2 linked regions of the Macaca mulatta genome follow. The protein of the gene in region 1 interacts with the protein of each later gene in a pairwise test. Links are inferred from orthologs where the notes say so. Each region holds a gene or a part of one and is shown in the gene's direction. Other genes may lie near its edges.

The links. The genes of interacting proteins can lie anywhere in the genome.
Region 2: the proteins of PNMA5 (region 1) and PRKAA1 interact in binary tests that used the Homo sapiens proteins (3 or more experiments, as listed by UniProt). The two-hybrid records come from large-scale screens. The link is inferred for Macaca mulatta from reciprocal best matches to the Homo sapiens genes PNMA5 and PRKAA1.

Annotation. Positions count from the first base shown.
Region 1 is NC_133426.1:159,261,665-159,272,032, reverse strand, and holds PNMA5 (paraneoplastic antigen-like protein 5), read left to right. Parts: upstream 1-3,787; 5' UTR 3,788-3,918; exon of another isoform or gene 3,919-4,018; 5' UTR 4,019-4,080; exon of another isoform or gene 4,081-4,094; intron 4,095-4,274; 5' UTR 4,275-4,396; coding exon 4,397-5,743; 3' UTR 5,744-7,159; downstream 7,160-10,368.
Region 2 is NC_133411.1:41,870,064-41,880,431, reverse strand, and holds the start of PRKAA1 (5'-AMP-activated protein kinase catalytic subunit alpha-1), read left to right. Parts: upstream 1-4,908; 5' UTR 4,909-5,093; coding exon 5,094-5,220; intron 5,221-10,368. UniProt on the Homo sapiens protein: Catalytic subunit of AMP-activated protein kinase (AMPK), an energy sensor protein kinase that plays a key role in regulating cellular energy metabolism.

The DNA of each region.
Region 1 (10,368 bases):
GCAGGGATATCTCAGGTCGGCTGTATTAAGGGCACATGGGCTTCCAACTTCTCCCAGAAGCCTCAGATAGATGAAGGAGAAAAATCTCAGAGTCTCCGGGGGAGGCAAATAGCTAGACAGGGGGAGGCATCCATGTTGCCCTGGGAACGGGACCTGCATGGTAAGGGCTTGATGTGCCAAGGCTTGAGCCTCTGGGGACAACAGGCCCAACCATTGACCCTCTACCCTCAAAATGGCCTAGTGGAAGTGTTGAGAGAAAAAGGGGGTTGGAAACTGGCAGAGAGAAAGCTCATGCTTAGGGGCAGGGTCTGGAAGCTGGGAGTTGGCGGACAGCCAGGTACTAGGACTCCAGACTGTGTCCCCCAGATCACTACATTCACAGGCCTCAGTAGCTCAGAGGTGACTGAGGCAGAACCTCTTTCCGAGGCATCACCTTCTGTGATGTTGTGATACCAGGCAGCTAAGCAATGGCTTCCAGCACTATTTTCAGCCTGGGCTGGAGAAGGAGTAAGACTCCTTCTCAGAAGAAAAAAAAAAAAAAAAGACAGGATCTCGCTTTGTTGCCCAGGCTGGAGTGCAGTGGTGCAATCTGGGTTCACTGCAACCTCTGCCTCCCAGGTACAAGCGATTCTCGTGCCTCAGCCTCCTGAGTAGCTGGGATTACAGGCCTGCACCACCACACCCAGCTAATTTTTGGATTTTTAGTAGAGACGGGGTTTCACCATGTTGGCCAGACTGATCTCAAGTGATCTGCCCACCTTGGCCTCCCAAAGTGCTGGGATAACAGGTGTGAGCCACCACACCTGGCTGAAGAAGGTGACATCTGCAAATATCTTGCTTAGTGACCATCAATTTAAAATGTTGTCTGCTTTTAACATATTTATTAAAACATTACCAGAAAAGCCTGTTTTTGTTTTGTTTTGTTTTTAATCACAAAGAAAGAAAAACAAATATATTCTGTCATTAAAGGTCCATAACTTCTGGCCCTGAAATGTAATCATAGGCTTCAGACCCTTGCTCCACATAGCCTGGGCAGGGATATGCAGCAAGTAACCCAGCTTTCAGCGGAACCAGCCCTGCCTCAGATCTCCTTACTCAGAACCTGCATTTTTTTAAGATTACCAGGGGATTTATGTGCATCTTGAAGTATGCTACCTGTGCCGCACCCACACCCTTTTCTGGAACAGCACTTTCGGGCCACTGCAGGCCCCAGGATCTTCCCTCTGTGGAAGAAACCTGCTTTGGGAAACGACAGGAAGCAGCTTGGGTACTAGGTGCGTAATATTTGGTCGTGAAATCAGGAGAATAATGGGAGAATGGAATATTTTCAGTCACTGGCTCTCAGTGAGCAGTGAAAAAAACTAATGCCCTTGTGAAATGCAGGCATTAGCTGTATTTTTTGCCCTCCTCCCCTAGAACACAGTCCAGTAAAAAACGGGGGCTATGACTTTCAGGTAGCAAGCGCGCTCACGTGGCCTATACGTTGCACGGGGTGTTTTGCACCCGGCCCTTCACCACAGGCTTGGGACGCCACAGCTCCCCTCCAATGGGGAACAGCCACAATGGCTGCTGGGCCAAATGGCACGTGGCGAGCCTGGCTGCCACCATCGTCCAGCCAATAAACAACAGGACTGGGAGCTATTCTGCAATGTAAGTGGCTCCCAGCTGGGCTTGCATTCTCTGTCCTCAAAGGTGCAGGCTGGCTCAGGCTGGCACGGGGGGGCGGGGTGAGGAACCACCTTGTGGGAAGTAGGAGAGTTTATGTCACCAGTGCGCAACCGTGAGCGGGCCGTGTGCAATTCCGCTGGGGGAGTGGTGTCGTCTCCAGACAACCTCTTCCCGCCACAGCCTCGTGGCGCAGTCGGCACGGAGGCGGCAGCCGCCATAGACGTGTGGTGGTCGCGCTGCGCGGGAACACCGGCTTGGAGGCACCTCCGGCAGGTACGGAGCTGGACCCCGGGCTTAGACAGCAACTCAGATTGCGGGGGATCCCCCCAATAATCCTTGCTATTTTCAACGGGGTCTAGGGGCTGGTGGCCATAGGTTTCCATGGAGGCGGGATCCCACTAGATCACACACAGCACCCCGAGGAATCCCTGCCATTTCCAGGCAGAACTTCAGGGAGACCTGGCCAGGCGCGGTGGCTCACACCTGTAATCCCAGCACTTTGGGAGGCCAAGGCGGGTGAATCACCTGAGGTCCGGAGTTGGAGACCAGCCTGGCCAACATGGGGAAACCCGGTCTCTACTAAAAATACAAAAAGTAGCCGGGCATGGTGGCATACGCCTGTAATCCCGGCTACTCAGGAGGCTGAGGTCGGAGAATCGCTTGAACCCAGGAGGCGGAGGTTGCAGTGAGCTGAGATCATACCCTACTGCACTCCAGCCTGGGTGACAGAGTGAGACTCCGTTTCAAAAAAAAGAAAAAAAAACTTCAGGGAGACGTATTCCACCCTCGACCCTGCCCGGAGACACTGCAGTCAGGACAGTAGCTCTTGGCCCTTGCCCTTGAGGGAAAGTGGCTTCGAACCTTCCCCTCCTAGATTCTGCCTGCTTCCACTGGTGTCGGTGGTGTGGGTGTATGTAAATAACAGGGTGGGGATTGGGGGAACAGGGAAATGGAGGTGGGGGTTTGGGGACATCAGTTAGACTTGCATGGAGGTAGGAGTTGGACTTGGTGAGGGGGCAGGGCTTGGGGTAGGAGTTGGACTGTGGGTGAGGGCAGGGCTTGAGGCGGGAGTTAGACTTGGGTGGTGGAAGGAGTTGGACTTGGTGGGGGGCTAGGCTTGGGGTAGAGGTGCAACTTAGTTGTAGGCAGAGTTTGGCAGCAGGCGTGCAAGTTTTGAGGTGGGGCTTAGGAAGGGGTGCAACATGGCTGCAGGGGTGGGGCTTGGGAGGGAATGAAGTTTGCAGTGGGGGTGGGGCCGCAACCTTACCTTAGGATCCCTTCTGCCCTAGCAGCAGCCCCCCCGCCCCCCACCTCCCTCCTCACCTCCCACCCCTCTCGCCATTCTTCCCCCCACTCCTCCTTCCCCCCCACCCCTCCCCCCTTTCCCCCCTCCTCTTCCCTCTGCCAGTTGTGCAGTTTCTTCTACCCCTGCACCAGGGTCCTAGTGGACACCTATGCAGAATCTGAATTGGCATGGCCTGAGCAGGGACATGTGTGTGGGACAGAATCACAGCAAAATACCTGTGCTTTGCCTTGGACAGATCCAGGGAAGCAGGAACCATCACGCCTGAGTCAGGAACTGCCTAATTGGATAGAGTTGAAGAGCAGAGCGACTCTGAAGTGACTGTGTTATTGCAGCATCTGCGCTGCCAGCAGGGCCAACCCAGAAAGGTGAGCAGCTGTGAGGTGGGCCCTGTTGGGAGGGTCTCTGGAACCCCTGCAAAGAGTGTGGAGAGGGGACTGCCTGCCAGCGTTCACAGACTCTGCAGGGTAGGGCCATCTCTAGGGCAAGAGTTGTTGGTTTCCTGCAGTCTGGCAGTGGGGACCTCATCAGGGTCCCTTTTCTACCTGATTTCAGCTTCCACACAATTGAAACCATGAGCTCCTGTCCTTTCAGCACTCACTCCTCAAGCCCACCTCGCCTTCCCTCTCCCACCCTCCTTTTTGCTGGGAAGCTTTATTGGTTGGAGGCCAATGACATCACCTGTTGCTTCTCAAGGACCTTAGCCTTACCACATGACACTCCCCTGCAATAGCAACCCATGGTCCATGGTATTCTCTGTATCCATGGCAACACTGCAGCTTGTCACACAATCTCCACACCCACCACTCTCATTGCATTGCGCAGAGCTCGGCCATCTTTCTCATCTGTCAGGCGTTCCTGAGAAAGAGGGCCATTCTACCTCTCCTGCTGCCAGCCTTCACTCCAGCAAGGAGGGTGCTGGGTGACCTGAGCCCACATAGCCCTGAGTGAGCAGTGAGGCCGTCTCCTGCCCTCTTCTGCCTGGAGAGCTTGTCAGTGTCCCCAGATGTCAGGCCCTGCCTCCTGACTTTGGCCTTTTCACTACAGATACCCGAAGCACACACAGCAGAGTCCTCTGGACTTCGAGGAGGAACCCACAGCAGGAGGAGGTCAGCAGGGAGTGGTGAGATGAGGAGATCTTTGCCTGGGGAGAACCTCCACCCTCTACCCTCCCCAAAATAACTTGGGGAACCCTGGGAAGAAGGGACTCCATCCCTGCTCGGGGGTGGGGGCAGAGGAGGGGTGCTTGGGGGTATAGGTTGGGGTAGGCATTAACAATGCTCTCATCCCATTTGCTTTGCAGGCTGTGGAAACCTGGGACCACTTCTACCTTCCTACGTGGCAGTGGCTCAGAGTTATTTGAGTGCTGTCAAACTAAGCTGATTGCTGCCCTAGTATTAGATCAGTCCATAGAAAGTGGGAGCAATGGCATTGACACTGCTAGAGGATTGGTGCAAGGGGATGGACATGGACCCCAGAAAGGCCCTGCTGATCATAGGCATCCCCGTGGAGTGTAGTGAGGTGGAAATTCAGGACACTGTGCAGGCAGGCTTACAGCCCCTGCGCGCATACAGGGTGCTAGGGAGAATGTTCAGGAGGGAAGACAACGCCAAGGCAGTCTTCATTGAATTGGCTGACACTGTCGATTACACTACTCTGCCTAGTCACATACCAGGAAAGGGGGGCTCCTGGGAAGTGGTGGTAAAACCCCGTAACCCAGATGACGAGTTTCTCATTAGACTGAACTACTTCCTGAAAGATGAGGGCCGAAGTATGACAGATGTGGCCAGAGCCCTGGGATGTTGCAGCCTCCCTGCCGAGAGCCTGGATGCAGAGGTCGTACCCCAAGTTAGACCCCCACCTTTAGAGCCTCTGAAAGAAAGTATGTGGTACCGGAAACTGAAAGTGTTTTCGGGAACTGCTTCCGCTAGCCCAGGTGAAGAGACCTTTGAAGACTGGCTGGAGCAGGTCACTGAGATAATGCCCATATGGCAAGTGTCTGAGATGGAGAAGAGACGGCGTCTGCTGGAGAGCTTACGAGGGCCTGCTCTGTCAATCATGCGGGTGCTCCAGGCCAACAATGACTCCATAACTGTGGAGCAGTGCCTTGACGCCTTAAAGCAGATCTTTGGGGATAAAGAGGACTTCAGAGCCTCTCAGTTTAAGTTTCTGCAGACCTTTCCGAAGATTGGAGAGAAAGTCTCCACTTTCCTGCTGCGCTTAGAGCCCCTGCTGCAGAAAGCAGTGCAGAAGAGCCCCTTGTCAGTGCGCAGCGCAGACATGATTCGTCTGAAACATCTCTTAGCTCGGGTCTCCATGACCCCCGCCCTCAGAGGCAAGCTGGAGCTCTTGGATCAGCGAGGGTGTCCTCCCAATTTTCTGGAGTTAATGAAGCTTATTCGAGATGAAGAAGAGTGGGAGAACACTGAGGCAGTGATGAAGAATAAGGAGAAGCCATCAGGGAGAGGCCGGGGGGCCTCTGGTAGACAGGCAAGAGCAGAAGCCAGTGCCTCTGCACCTCAGGCCACCGTGCAGGCAAGGTCTTTGAGCGACAGCAGCACCCAGACTGTACAGGGAGGCTTACCCCCATTAGTGAAACGCAGGCGGCTGTCGTGCAGTGAAAGCACTAGGGAAGAAGACTATGGCCAGGCCATGTATCCCAAGGCTGAAAACCAGACTCCAGGCAGGGAGGGGCCACAGGCTGCAGGAGAGGAGTCGGGAAACGAGGCAGGGGCTGGGGCCATGAGCCATCCCAAGCCCTGGGAAACATAGGCTCAGAAGACCCAAGCACTCCTTCCCCTGGCAGGCAGCAGGGACATTTGAACAAAGGGCAGCTTACACTAACAGGGAACTTGATTGGGGCAGAGGGACAGGGAAGCCAGGTCAAGATCAAGCCCCTTTACTTTCCACCAGCTGGAAGGGACTTCACCAACCTAGACCAAATAGCATCTGGTTCAGTGGGGGCCAGGCCCATGGCCCCTAACAGGTATAGGAGACACAAGCAGGGAACAGCTACACTTAGCACAGGGGGTGGCTGGGCTTCAGATGGGGACCCCAACAAAGCAGGGGCTGAAGACGGTGTGGCTGGGGGCTCTGGCCTGGTCATCTGGACACCCCCAAATATCCACCCTGTGAACTTTGAGCTGAGAATGCCCACTGGCACCCAGGCCATGTGGGACCTGGAGGAGCCTGCCTGGGGCCTGCCTCTGCCAGAAGGAGCCAGGGCTGCTGAGGAAGAGCTGTGGGGGAGAAGTGAAGCCCGGCAGGGGAGGCTGCAGGGTCCAGCCCGTCTTTAGGATCATTTACACTGCATGAGGGGAGCCCCAGGAAGGCAGCATTCATGACCCCCTGCACCAGTGAGGAAGAGAAAGAGGAGGAGAATTAAGAAGAGGATGATCAGGAGGAGGAATAGGAGAATAAGGAGGGGCAGGAAGAAAAGGAGGAGGAAGAGGGGGAGGAGAAGGAGGAAGAGGGGAAGGAGGAGGAAGAAGTGTGAGAAGAGAGGACTTGTTGGGGGTGGGTAGTTGTTTTTGGTTTGCGTCATCACCAGGCCCAGGCTCTGCTCACTGCTGTTCCGTGTCAAGAACTCCACCTCTGCTTTGCCGGTGTAGATCTCGGCCAGCAGCTGCTTGTTCTCTTGGGGATGTTTGTGTTTGTATCTGAGCAGCTCCTTTCCAGAGTACCCCAGCGCAGTTCCAGGAGACAGTGGGAAGGAGGCATGGCAGACGCTCACCTTGTGACCGTGACCTTGACTGCAGGAGGACGAACCAGACACAGGACGGAGCAGGGCTGCCTGAGGCTCCCCAGGAAGCTTTGTGCTTTGGCGTTCCACCCCTGTTGTTACTCGTGACTCAGTTTCCTCAACTTGGTGGGGTGTTCCCTGCTATGTTTTCCAGCATCCTGTGACTGTCCTGTGCAGTCTATAAGACAGGGCCCTGCCCCAGCGGGTGGGCTCAGGAGGGGGTTACCTGAAGTGAGTACACATTGCCAGAGCCCACAATCCTGGCAAGAGGTGGATCCTGGGGCCCTGTGGAAGGAGGGATGTGGTAGGGGGAGCCACGGTGAGGGAGGGGCCTGGGACTTGTGACTTGCAGTGGTTGTTTGCAGTGTCTGTCTGTGTTACAATTCCCTTCTCTTCAGCGGTTTCAGTTCATGTTTCTCTTCAATAAATTTTGTTCAGTGTTCCAGCAGTGTCTTGCCTCTTCTGTATGAAACTGGGGTGGGCGGTGGTCTGCTGGGGACGAGGCCACAGTGGCCAGGCTGACATTGGGGTGTGTGTCCATGAGGACCTGTGGTGTGCCTTGGGCTGCATGGAGCCTGGCGACAGGATGCTGGTGGTCATGAGCAGTGACTGGTTGGGTACTAAAGGCACTCCAGGTGCCCTCAGGAATAAGTGGGTTGGATATTGAAGGCTGGGCAAGGGGCAGCAGGTGGGTTCCAGGCCCCTGATTCCTGGCAGCACTGTAGGGGTGTGGCTCAAGGCTTCCAGAAGGGTCAGAGAGGCCATGTGTGCAACCGAGGGCAGAAACCAAGGTCAGAGAAGAACCCCAGGAGGGCCTGGACAGGCAGTCAGAGGCCCTGTGAAGAGCTGTGTGCAGGACTCAGGGGGTGGTGCAGGGGCTGCTGTGTGCCCACCCTCCCAGATCAGGCCGCAGGTGGCCAGCCTTGGCCTAACCACTGAGGGATGTTTGGGGATAGTGTGTGTGTGTGATGGCCAAGGGACAGAGTGTTGGTCAGACAGGGATCCCAAGTGCTTATGTGTCGGGGAGGGGGAGAGGAAGGGCGGGGGGAGCTGCACTTCATCCTGGGTCCTGTTCTGCTCTCTTCCCAGTGTGCTGGGGGGGCCTCTACTCCTGTGTCCTGGGAGCAGGCAGTGGGCCATGAGCTGCAAGTCCAGATGGCCCTGGGGAGTGACCCCTTTCTGTCCTGCGTCCCCGAGGCCCTCTGAGCCCTGGATGCTGCCTGAGGAGGGCTCCCTCAGGGTGGACAGCGCTGCTAATCCGAACACCCCTCCTTGAGCACTGGCCGGAGGGGCAGTCCTCAGTGGGGGCCTGAGGATCCTGGAACCCGCCCTCCTGAGCCCTCCTGGGACTGGCTCTCTCTCCCAACAGGCCAGGGAGCTCGCCACAAATTGAGGGTAGTCCTCGATCAGCCATTTAACTAACCCAGAGTCTGTGGGCAACAGGACTGGGACAACTGATAGGCCCCTCCCTGCACAAGTGCGGGGAGGGGACGGGATCAGTGACTTGGACCTGGCGAGGGTCTCCCAGAGCTCACTCAGTCTGTGCCCACACGCTTCCTCCAGCTGTTCTGGAGCACAGAGCCTCCGACCATCCCCTTGGCTCAGATGATAGCCAGGGTGCCCCAAAGCAGCCTGGGAGCCAGTGCTGGGAATGGGTGGCTGCCCGCCTGGGCTGAGGAACCCTGGATCTAGGCGACCTGTCTGCTTGAGCAGAGCTGCAGTCAGCAGGGCTGCAGGGCGGCAGGGGCCCTGGGAGACACTAGGCATACACAGGCGAGTGCAGGCGTGGGCGGGGGGTAGTTTTGCGGGGCTGTCGGGGAGGGGCAGGGGCAGCAGGTCCCTGGGGCTGGGTCTGCAGCCTCCTCGGCCTGAAGGTGCCTAACCAGTGTCTCAGGGACCCTTGTAGTGTGTCGCATCGGGGTGCCCTGCGGGCATGCCTGTGGCCCCCACTGTGCTCTGCTGTCCCTGCCTTCTTCAGGCTGGGCACAACCCCAGCATGTCTGTCCCTTGTGTCTCAGCAGGGCCAAGTCAACTGCTCACTTTCCAAGGGCCCCTCCAGATTTCAGGGACAGGACAAGAAGAGAGGGCGAAGAGCTTGGCTGACCTTGCCAGAGCCTGTCAGGGCTCCTTGGTTTTCCCTGTTCAGAGTGGACCTGTGTGTGCCGTGAGTGTCTGAGCGGGTGTGTTTGCGCATGTGCGTGTGTGTGTCAGTGTGAGCATGTGCATGAGTTTCTGAGAAAGTGTGTGTGAATCCAAGTGACAGCATGTGACTGCATCACTAAGCATGTGTGAGTGGGAGTGTGTGGGGGAATGAGGCTGTGCCATTGAAGGTGAGCATGCATGTCGCTGCATGTGTGTGACACTGTGAGTGTGTCAATGCGTGTCAGTGTGTGTGTGTGTTTGTGAGTCATTGTGCGTGAGTGTGCTGACTGCAAATGTGGGTGTGTCGATGAGCAGGCATGTATGTGTCATTCAATGCGTGTTTGTCACTCAATGTGTGCGCGCATGTGAGTGCGTCTGGAACGTGAGCGTGTCACTGAACGTGTGCGCGACTGTGTCAGTGAGCGTGTGAGCACACATGCTGGATAGCTGGGTTGTGAAACCTGGAAGGGATCTAGCCAGGGAGTCTGGAAGGCGGTACCGGGAGGAACCAGTTGCTTCCCCACCAGCCTGGAGCCAGGAGACTTTGTTGGGCCTGAAGGACGGGCCCCACCACGGGGCCCCCTGTCCCTTTCATCCTGGCCAGGCCCTTGGTGTGTGCCGGCTTGCAGAGCTCCTACCATGCATTGTGCTTCACTGCACAGTCCTCACCAAGTGTCCCTGGGGGGTGGGGGCACGGGGCATGTGTGGCCTGGGGACAGAAAGGTCCATCGAGGTGCCTTCCCGGGTGCCCAGGGGCTGACCAAGCCCATCCAATAAGCAGCAACCTCGTGGGCTCACAGACGGCTTGAGCAGTGGATGAGGGAGCGGGATCAGAGCCCAATCATGGGGGTTGAGGCTGAGCAGAAAGGACTCAGAGAAGTCCCGTCCTCAGGACTGTCCCAGAATAGACAAGACTGAGTGGGGTCCCATCCTAAGGCCTGTCCCCTGAGCAGGGAGGACTGAGAGAGGTCCCGTCACCAGGCCTGTCCCTGATCAAAGTGGTCTGAGAGAGGTCTTGTCCTCAGGTCTGTCCCCCGAGCAGAGAGGAGTGAGAGCGGTCCTGTCTACAGGTATACCTCTGAGAAAATTAACTGAGATGGGTGCCATCATAAGACCTGTTCCTTAACAAGAGAGGACTGAGTTGGGTCTCCTGAGCAGAGAGGCCTCTCTCCGAAACCTGAGCAGGGGGAACTGTGAAAGGTGCTGTCCTCAACTCTGTCCCTGATCATAGAGAAATGACAGAGGTCTCATTTTCAGGCCTGTTCCATGAGCAAAGAGGACTGAAAGAGGTCCCATACTCAGGTGTCCCCTGTGCAGAACAACTGAGAGAGATCCTATCATCAGCCCTGTCCATGAGCAGAAATGTCCGACAGAGTACAATCCTCAGGTTTCTTTCTGAGCAGAGAGGACTGAGAGAGGTCCCATCTTCTAGTTTGTCCCCTGAGCAAACAGAACTGACAGAGGTCTCATCCTCAGGCAGCCCCTGAGCAGGACGACCGAGAGGACTCCTGTC
Region 2 (10,368 bases), on another chromosome or scaffold:
GTTCAAGCGATTCTCCTACCTCAGCCTCCCAAGTAGCTGGGACCACAGGTGTGTGCCACGATGCCTGGATAATTTTTTGTATTTTTTTTAGAGACGGGGTTTCACCATGTTAGCCAGGATGGTCTTGATCTCCTGACCTCATGATCTGCCTGCCTCGGCCTCCCAAAGTGCTGAGATTACAGGTGTGAGCCACCAAACCCGGCCTCTTTGATGTCTTAATGTTACAAATATTCATAATTTCAGTTGAACACCCATTCCTCTAAAATCCTACCAGAATCCTGGGAGGTAATTAAGATTCCTTCCTGGATGGGCACGGTGGCTTACACCTGTAATCCTAGCACTTTGGGAGGCCGAGGCAGGTGGACCACGAGTTCAGTAGTTCGAGACCATCCTGGCGAAGACAGTGAAACCCCATCTCTACTAAAAATACAAAAAATTAGCCGGGCGTGGTGGCGGGCGCCTGTAATCCCAGCTACTCGGGAGGCTGAGGCAGGAGAATCTCGTGTATCTGGCAGGCGGAGTTTGCAGTGAGCGGAGATCGTGCCACTGCACTCCATCCTGGGCAACAGAGTGAGACTTCGTCAAAACAAAACAAAACAAAACAAAAAAAACAGATTCCTTCCTTTCCCTCTCTCTGCACATCACTCAATTCCTTCCTTTCTAATTCCACTTTATGAAAAGGTCTTGAGTTTTTCCTTTTTGTATGTGGTGACTGCCTCATTTCTTCATTAGATGATTGCAAGTTTCCTGATTTACCACTTTGGTGTTGCCCTTCTCTAATGTATATCCTCCAAAATAAAGTCAGAGTTTTTAGAAATTTTTCTAAAAGTTTTGATTCTGTTATATGTGCATAAGGCTCTAAATCAAAATTTACAAAGGGTATACAGAGAAAAGTCTGCCCCTTGCCCCTGACTTTTAGTCACCTCATTTCTCTTCCCAAATGTACCCACAGCTACCAATTTTGGAGAAAATAATTTATTTCTACACGGCATCTACTTCACATCTTTCCAAAGCTTATCACTCTACAAGATAATGTCCAAACTGAGAAGCACATGAGGCATTTCAGGATTTGGTCTGTTTAACTTTAGTGGGTTTACCTCTCATTTTCTTCTAACAAGTCCCTCTATACATCAGATTCCAGCCCCTGTAACAATTAGCTCTTCCCTAAACAGCCTACTTCCCTTTGTGAAAAAAAAATTTTTTTTTTTTAAGATGGAGTCTCACTCTGTCCCCTAGGCTGAAGTGCAGTGGCGCGATCTCAGCTCGCTGCAACCTTTGCCTCCCAGGTTCAAGTGATTCTCCTGTCTCAGCCTCCCGAGTAGCAGGATTACAGGTGCACACCGCCATGCCTGGCTAATTTTTTGTATTTTAGTAAAGACAGGGTTTTACCATGTTGCTCAGGCTGCTCCAACTCCTGAGCTCAGGCAATCCACCTGCCTCGGCCACCCAAAGTGTTAGGATTACAGGTGTGAGCCACTGCGCCTGGCCTTCTTTACTTTTTTATTTTTATATTTTTGAGATAGGGTCTCACTTTGTCACTCAGGCTGGAGTGCAGTGGCATGAACACGACACACTGCAGCCTTGACCTCCTGGGCTCAGATGATTTTCTCACCTCAGCCTCCTGAGTAGCTGGGACTACAGGCATGCACCCCGACGCCTGGCTGATTTTTTGTAGAGATGAGGTCTCATAATGTTGCCCAGGCTGGTCTCAAACTCCTGAGCTCAAGTGAGCCTCCTGCCTCGGCCTCCCAAAGTGTTGGGATTACAGGTGTGAGACACTGTGCCTGGGTGGCCTCCCTTTTGTGTGTAGAAATCATCATCTCTTAATACTTCACCATAAACATATTCAAGTTAAAGCTTTGGCAGACCTCCACAGATAAAGGTTATACTGATCTCTCATGATGGCCTTTAGCACCATATATGCGTTTTATTTTGTTTATTTTTTAAGAGATAGCGTTTTGCTCTGTCACCCAGGCTGGAGTACAGTGGCATAATCATAGCTCACTGCAGCCTGTACCTCCTGAGCTCAACTGATCCTCACACCTCAGCCTCCAAAGGATCTAGGACTATAGGTGAGAACCACCAGACCCAGCTAATTTTGAATTTATTTTTATTTTTTTTGTAAAGACAGAATCTCACTACATTGTCTAGACTTGTGTTTTTATTATAGCACCTATAACATTGCTTTGTCTCCTATTAGAAGGCAGAACCATGTTCCTTTGTTTAAGTCCCTAGGATCTAGCGAACTGCCCAGTACATAGTGTTTGTTTAATACAAATAAAATATTAGTTACAATGTAGCTACAAGTAAGCTAAGGAAATATTAGCCTGCATTAATAGCAGTGTAGTACTCAGAAGTTTTAGTTCCAGCCACCATATTTAGAGATAGTCCTTGGAGAAGTGTAATATCCACCTGGCAGTATAGAGTCCAGTAATGCTGTAATAACCTTGAGAAGATGACTCCGAGGAGTCTGCCCACTTATATTCCAATACATTTTACTGAGATGGTGTACAGTTACAACAGATAGGTCAGGAAACTGGGTGTAAGTCACAGTCTACCTTATCTTTGCTTCCCCCTGGTAGAATGTTGAGTATGTAAATATTATCTCTCCTGGATGGGTGCGGGGATGGTGGAATATAGAGGACTGCTACTGTAGACCAGGAGCTCTTTCGAGGTAGGGACCGTGACTTTTCATTTTTTAGAAAAATGAAATTTTCTATAGTGTCTGGCAGTTAACAAAAGTTTGAAGAATGAAGGAAGTGAACATTTGGGAATAGATCAATGGGAGAATGAAAGGAAGACAGGGTGGAAGAAAATGTGACAAAAATTTAAAAAGGTAATTAAGAGAAAAAGCAAAGGAATACAGGAGGCTTCTTAATACAGTAGTCTTACAAACAGTGAATTGGATTCAGTTTTTAACTCAACATGAATGGAAAAGAAACAAAACCAAAATTAAAAACACTGAGCAATTAAAGCTGCTTTAAACAGAGACTATGGGAAACTGGATAAGATGATGTCTAAGCTTCTATCCAATTTTTTGATCTATAATTCTAGGTTTTATCTCCCCAAAAACGCTTTTAAGTGTAAATGCCAGTTAATGACTATTTATTAAATAGAATTATAATCTACAATGGCACAAAGCAGAAACAAACCGATGTTTCTACTAAAAAAAAAGGTTATGTTACTTTCTTGAATTTTCATAGTTTAAAGAAGAGATTGGCAAATGGATTTGCAAAACTCAGCTTCAGTTTGTTCCCTTGCAACATGCTCAGTGAGTGGTACACAGTTGAGGTCCTTTGCTATCTTTTCCTTTTTTTTTTTCCCTAGGGTACTCTCTCTCCCACCCTTGGGCCTGAGGAGAGATGTCAGATCTTTTTCTTTCAGGTTAGAAGAAATGGCAGAACTTTCCTGGGTTAAATTCTAGACATAATAAAAACTTAAAGTAATTTAAGATGCTATTTGGGGAGGGGAGGGAGTTTAAGGTTCCCTGCCGCACACGGAAATCCAGAGAGCTATTTCTGCTTTACAGAGATCCAAAATCCAAAAATTCTGCTTTGCAGAGATGCCTTGTGTAGAAATTCACAAGGCGAACAGATAAAAGTGAAAAAGCAAGACACCAAAAGTTACAACAGTAACCACCACACCACCTGCCCCCCAAATACATCAGTAATCAAAGATTTCTTAACTTTTTGCTCTTCAAACAATGTGCAGTCCTCAATACAGTAGGAACTTGGTGAAGGCTAGCTGGAACTGTTCTCTGCTTATCTGGTGTAATTCTAAGCTCAAAGGCAGAAACTTTTGCTTCCCCTGCAATATCTTCCTTGGAAGAAAACGGTGCCTAATGCATGTTACTTTGATTTCAGAAACAGAGAGGAGAAAATCAGAAGAGTTGGGTAATTGATTTTTGTTGGGATTAAAAATGACTATTAGTTTTTTACTTTTCTTTTCATGAAGATGCAATTTTTTTGGGGGGGAGGGGCATTGACACTGGCCCAGTGCTATGACATTCCAAAACTGAGAGAATATAAACGTTTTAAAACAGAACACTTGATTTTGACTACTAATTAGAGGAGTGGAATTGAGTAACAAACTCAAACATTTTATTAAAAATAAGCAGACTTTATGCTATGGTATGGTTCCATTTATGTTTATATAATACATTAAGTATTACTCATTGTAAGTACAATAAATATTTGTTGATCCGGTTGATGTAACTGTAAGCCTTGTTCTCAGTCCAGTGAACGTATACATTTTACCGATAATCTGAAAGTATTAATTCCTATACACCAAAAGATTTGCGTATCATCCCCCTCTTGGAATACACATTCACTTGTACATATCCCCAGCCTGCTCCTCGCAACAGAGTTTGCTTTGGGGAAGAAATTTCAGGATCACCTCCAGAAGAAAACACCGACAGCGCTCCTAGAGCCATCGTGGTGTCCAGTAGCAATTTACGGGCTCCAAGCGAAAAAAGAGCGCGGGTCGGCGGCGGTGGTGGTGGCGGGGGCGGGGAGGGGGGAGCGGGAAACTCCATCACAGACGCAAGTGAAAACTCCTGCGGCTTCTAGATTCCATCCAAGAAGGAAAGATCAGAATCAAGATTAGAAAGGAGTGGCAGGGCGGTGCCCCCTGCCTTGCTTTAATTCACGCGCCCCTTGTAACAAGCCACGGATCTGCATCACTCAAGCGGGCTTCCCAGTCCTCATCTCCCCTCTGGAATCACCCGCAGAAGGGTCTTCTCCGACCCCAGAGTGGTAATTAGGGAAGCTCACTGCCGGCAGAAACTCTGCCAGAGGAGAAGGAGCCGGGGGGGCGACGGTTCCCTTAATCGTTCCAGTAAGCCCCTCCGCGTGCCGGTGGGCGGGCGCCCAGGCCCGAGGATGCGGGGCGAGGAGGCGGGTACCGGTGCTTCTCCCGGCAGCCCCCGCCCGCCCCGCCAGGGGGAGCGTCTGCGCCCGACGGCGGCTGCGGGGCCTGGGCTGGCGGCGCAGGGCGGTGGCTCAGCTCGGCGGCTGCCCTCCCGCGTCCCCACCCCCTCCCCGCCCGCCCCCGGCGCGGCCCTGCCCGCCCCCTCCGCCCCCTCCCGCAGCGCCATGCGCAGACTCAGTTCCTGGAGAAAGATGGCGACAGCCGAGAAGCAGAAACACGACGGGCGGGTGAAGATCGGCCACTACATCCTGGGTGACACGCTGGGGGTCGGCACCTTCGGCAAAGTGAAGGGTGAGAACCCCCAGGGCTAGGCTCGACCCCAGCTGGGGAGCCGCACGACTTCCGCTTTCGGCACCTCTTCATCCTCCCCCGTCCGCTGCGTCCCTCCTTTCCAGGGCTGGGCAGCCCCTGTCCCGGATCCTGCGGGAGCTCTCCCCAGCCGCCGCGGGGCTGCGGCGCGGCCAGCACAGCCGGGTGGGGGTGGGGTGGGGACCAGTCGCCATGGCGACGGCGCCGCGGCCGGAGGGGCTGGTAGGTGCGAGGGGCGGGGATGAGGAGGTGCAAACTTTCCCAGGTGGGGCAGGCGGGCGGCGTGGCGCGCTCTGGGTGCTGAGAGGGGGCGCCGGGCGCGATCCCTGGGGAGACAGCCTCTTGTGCGCCCGGGTTGTGCTCCCTTGGCTCAGGGCCAGCCCATCGCTTCCTTGGCGGTCCTCGGCGTTGTCCATATTTCCGTCCTCTGTAGGAGGCCGTCGATTTACCGGCCCCTGCTGTTTCCCGAGAGCGACATGTGTTTCCGCAGAAGTAAGGTTTCTTTGTGGGTAGCCGACATCATTTTTTAAAAAAGGCCATCTCGTCGGAAAGGATCACTGGTTTCCTTCGGAGCAGTTAATGAATATAAACTGGTTCAATATTTGCGATGCATGCTTTACGTTCTGAATGAGACTGTTCCTTTAGTGTTTCCGAATTAACAGGAGTTTCTCCGTGCGAAACTTGGTTGTTAGTTCAGATGTTGCCTCCAGATAGTATTTATTACTTTATTAATACAGTTCGTTTCCACTTATTTTCAAAGGCTATTTGTATTCTAATAAACGATTATTCTAATAAACATTTGAACTTTTGTTTTAAGAAAGGCATATTAGGTGCATTGTACACCATTCGAGTGACGGGTACACTAAAAGCCCAGACTTCACCACTATGCAGTTCATCTGTGTAACCTAAAGCCACTTGTGCCCCTAAAGCTATTGAAATTAAAAGAAAGAAAAATGTGTACTCTTTCAAAACAATATTCTGGAAATAAGCTTGCTCTTCAGTCCACCAATCCTGGCAAAAAAACGTTTAATTGCAAGTTTTGTGAGGTGTGATTTTTTTTTTTTTTTCTTTAAAATATTTGACTTTGCTATAAGGGATACAGAGAAAGGAAGTTTGGAACTGATGAAAATAATTCATGCATTGGCTTTGGATAAATAATAGACTGACTTGCATATACTAAGTTCTTGGTAAATATTTGAGTTGAAAGAAAAAAAGTTTGTGAAAGTCTGTACCGTAACTCAACTGAGCCTTACTCTCCCAGAGCTAAATAAACATTTTCTGATTTTGTCTAGGGTTAGAAGAGAAGAACCCTTCCTTCTCTTGCCATTTTCTGAGTCATAGAATTGGAAAATTGTTGTATATCCCACAGGGAAGCAACTGCCTGAACCTTCTTATGAAAATCGGCAAGGCTGACAATGTCAGGAGGAAGTAAGAAGCAAATTAAGAAGCAAATGCAAGAATTGGGTAATAACAGCCATTGGGACAGGTCCATATAAGGCCAATAAGATGTTTCTGTGCCCTGGAAGTTTTAACTTTATCTTTGGCTATGATATTTCTTGTTAGCAATTACAAACTGCTCTTTAGTTTACAGGTGTTTGTAAAAAAAAAAAAAAAAAGTTCATTTTTGCCCCCACCCCTTCCCAGAGTTCTGCTTGGATTAGGGTGTTCATCATTCCCCTAATATAGACTTGAATGCTTGAATAAAGTCAGGTCTATTTTTTTTTCTTTTTTCTTTTTTTATTTTTGCCGAGATGGAGTCTTGCTCTGTTGCCCAGACTGGAGTGCCGTGGTGCGATCTTGGCTCACTGCAACCTCCGCCTCCTGGGTTCAAGCAGTTCTCCTGCCCCAGCCTCCCGAGTAGCTGGGATTACAGGCGCCCACCACCACACCCAGCTAATTTCGTATTTTTAGTAGAGATGGGGTTTCACTGTGTTGGCCATGAACTCCTGACCTCAGGTGATCTACCCACCTCAGCCTTCCAAAGTGCTGGGATTACAGGCGTGAGCCACGGCGCCTGGCCGATCAGAATCTTTAACCTGTTCATTTTTTAAGTTAACAGTTAGGATGCTTTTTGCCACAAGTAATAGAAAAATCCAGCTTCACCTAGTGAAGAACTTGTCTGTGGTTCTCCAGAGCAGGGAAGGCCAGCATACCTCTTATGAGTCTCATTGGCTCATCCAGTCCCTGTGGCTAGGAATGCCATGGACCAATTGGCTTATGCTTGTATTCCTAAGCAGGCGTTAGCAAGGGGGATGGCATTGCCCTTGGAGGAATGTGACCCTTTGATGTGTGTGTGCAAAGGAGGTGGGTGGGTGGGAGACATATTCTTTTGTTTAAAAATTTGTTTTATTTTTTAAATTTTTCTTTAAGTTTTTGGGGTACAGATGGTATTTGGTTACATGAGTAAGTTCTTTAGTGGTGATTTGTGAGATTTTGCTGCACCTATCTCCGGAGTAGTATATACTGCACCATATTTGTAGTCTTTTGTCCCTCACCCCCTTCCCACTCTTCCCCCCAAGTCCCCAAAGTCCATTGTATCATTCTTATGCCTTGCGTCCTCATAGCTTAGCTCCCACGTATCAGTAATGAGAACATACTATGTTGGTTTTCCATTCCTGAGTTACTTCACTTAGAATAATAGTCTCCACTCTTATCCAGGTCACTGCAAATGCTGTTAATTCATTCCTTTTTATGGCTGCGTAGTATTCCGTCGTGTATATATATACCACAGTTTCTGTATCCATACATTGATTAATGGGCATTTGGATTTGTTCCATGATTTTGCAATTGTGAATTGTGCTGCTGTAAACATGCATGTGCAAGTATCTTTTTAGAATAATGACTTCTTTTCAGAAGGGATTGCTGGATCAAATGGTAGTTCTACTTTTAGTTCTTTAAGGAATATCCACACTTTTCCATAGCAGCTGTACTAGTTTACATTCCCACTAGCAGTGTAGAAATGTTCCCTGTTTACCCTTTTCAACAAATGGTGCTGGGATAATTGGCCAGCCACATGTAGGAGAATGCAACTGGATTCTCACCTCTCAACCTCATAAAATATCAACTCAAGATGGATTAAGGACTTAAACCTAAGACCTGAAACTATAAAAATTCTAGAAGATAACATTGGAAAAACCCTTCTAGACATTGGCTTAGGCAAGGATTTAATGACCAAGAACCCAAAAGCAAATGCAATAAAAACAAAGATAAATAGCTGGGATCTAATTAAACTGAAGAGCTTTTGCACAGGAAAAGGAACAGTCAGCAGAGTAAACAGACAACCCACACAGTGGGAGAAAATCTTCCTAATCAATACATCTGAAAAAGGACTAATATCCAGAATCTATGATGAACTCAAACAAATAAGAAAAAAACAAACAGTCCCATCAAAAAGTGGGCTAAAGATGTGAATAGATAATTCTCAAAAGAAGATATACAAATGGCCAAGAAACATGAAAAAATGCTCAACATCACTAATGATCAGGGAAATGCAAATCAAAACCACAGTGTGATACCACCTCACTCCTGCAAGAATGGCCATAATAAAAAAATCAAAAAGCAGTAAATGTTAGTGTGGATGTGGTGAACAGGGAACACTTTTTTTTTTTTTTTTTTTTTTGGACAGAGTTTCACTCTTGTCAGCCAGGCTGGAGTGCACTGGCGTGATCTCAGCTCATTGCAACCTCTGCCTCCTGGGTTCAACTGATTCTTCTGCCCCAGCCTCCCTAGTAGCTGGGATTATAGATGTGAGCCACCACGTCCTGCTAATTTTTGTATTTTTAGTAGAGATGGGGTTTCACCATGTTGGCCAGGCTGGTCTGGAACTCCTGACCTCAGGTGATCTCACCCACCTCGGCCTCCCAAAGTGATGGGATTACAGGCCTGAACCACCGTGCTGGGCCAGGAGATATCTTCTAAGTACTTGGATAGTGTAGAGGGACAGGGTATATACCTACACATAAATGGGTGTTGTTAGGAGAGAGAAAGGGGGACATGGATACTCAGTGAACAGGCAGAAATGGCCACTATCCTGGTGATCTTGGTAATTAACACCAGTAGCCTTAATTATGCAAGAATTCTTGCAAATAATAGGGTTAGCCATATATTTAGACAATTTGGAATAAAGAAAGCTTTAAAAATTAGTTATATATATTGGTAAATTTAACATGAAGAGGGATCTAATAAAATATATGATATTGATATGCAGAAAAAGTCCCAGCATGATATTCCATGCTTATAGGAAATTTAATCTTGCGGGGAGAGTAGGCTGGAAGTTCGGAGTGATTGTTTCCTCTTATAGGCCAAAAAATTTGTTTGGTTACTTAGTGGTAGCATTTAGAGAGGAAAGTTTACAGAAAACTAGGGTTATTTTGTGATTATGCTTGAATTGTCTTTATTGTTTCCAACGCATCTTTTTTTTTAACTTCTAGTTATCAAGGTGTTAGGTTCCATGCCCTTGTGGGCCTTCCCTCTGCCCAAAAAAAGCATGGATGAGCAGAGTCATATCATTAAAATGGCAGTCTTTGTTAGTTTTTCTAGAGAAGATGATCTCTTTGGTAGGCTGGGTATGTCTTCGGCCAATGAGTTATTTATACATATAAACTATTAAGTTGGTAAGTATTTCTCTTTTTTTTTTGAGATGGAGTTTCACTCTTGTCTCCCAGGCTGGAGTGCAATGGTGCAATCTCAGCTCACTGCAACCTCCACCTCCTGGGTTCAAGCGATTCTTCAGCCTCAGCCTCCCAAGTAGTTGGGATTATAGGCACCCACCACTATGCCTGATTAATATTTTTTTGTATTTTTAGTAGAGACGGGGTTTCACCACATTGACCAGGCTAGTCTCGAACTCCTGACCTCAGGTGATCCACCCATCTTGGCCTCGCAAAGTGGGATTACAGGCGTGAGCCACCAAGCTTGGCTTAAGTTCGTATTTCTGTGTAAAACTGCAATTTCAACTACATAGGTAACTGTACTCTTTGTGAATGAATCATCGAAGTTATTTAAAAATTCCTTTAAGTAAAAAATATAAAGACCATCCTGGCTAACACAGTGAAACCCCATCTCTACTAAAAAAATACAAAAACTAGCTGGGCGAGGTGGCGGGCGCCTGTAGTCCCAGCTACTCTGGAG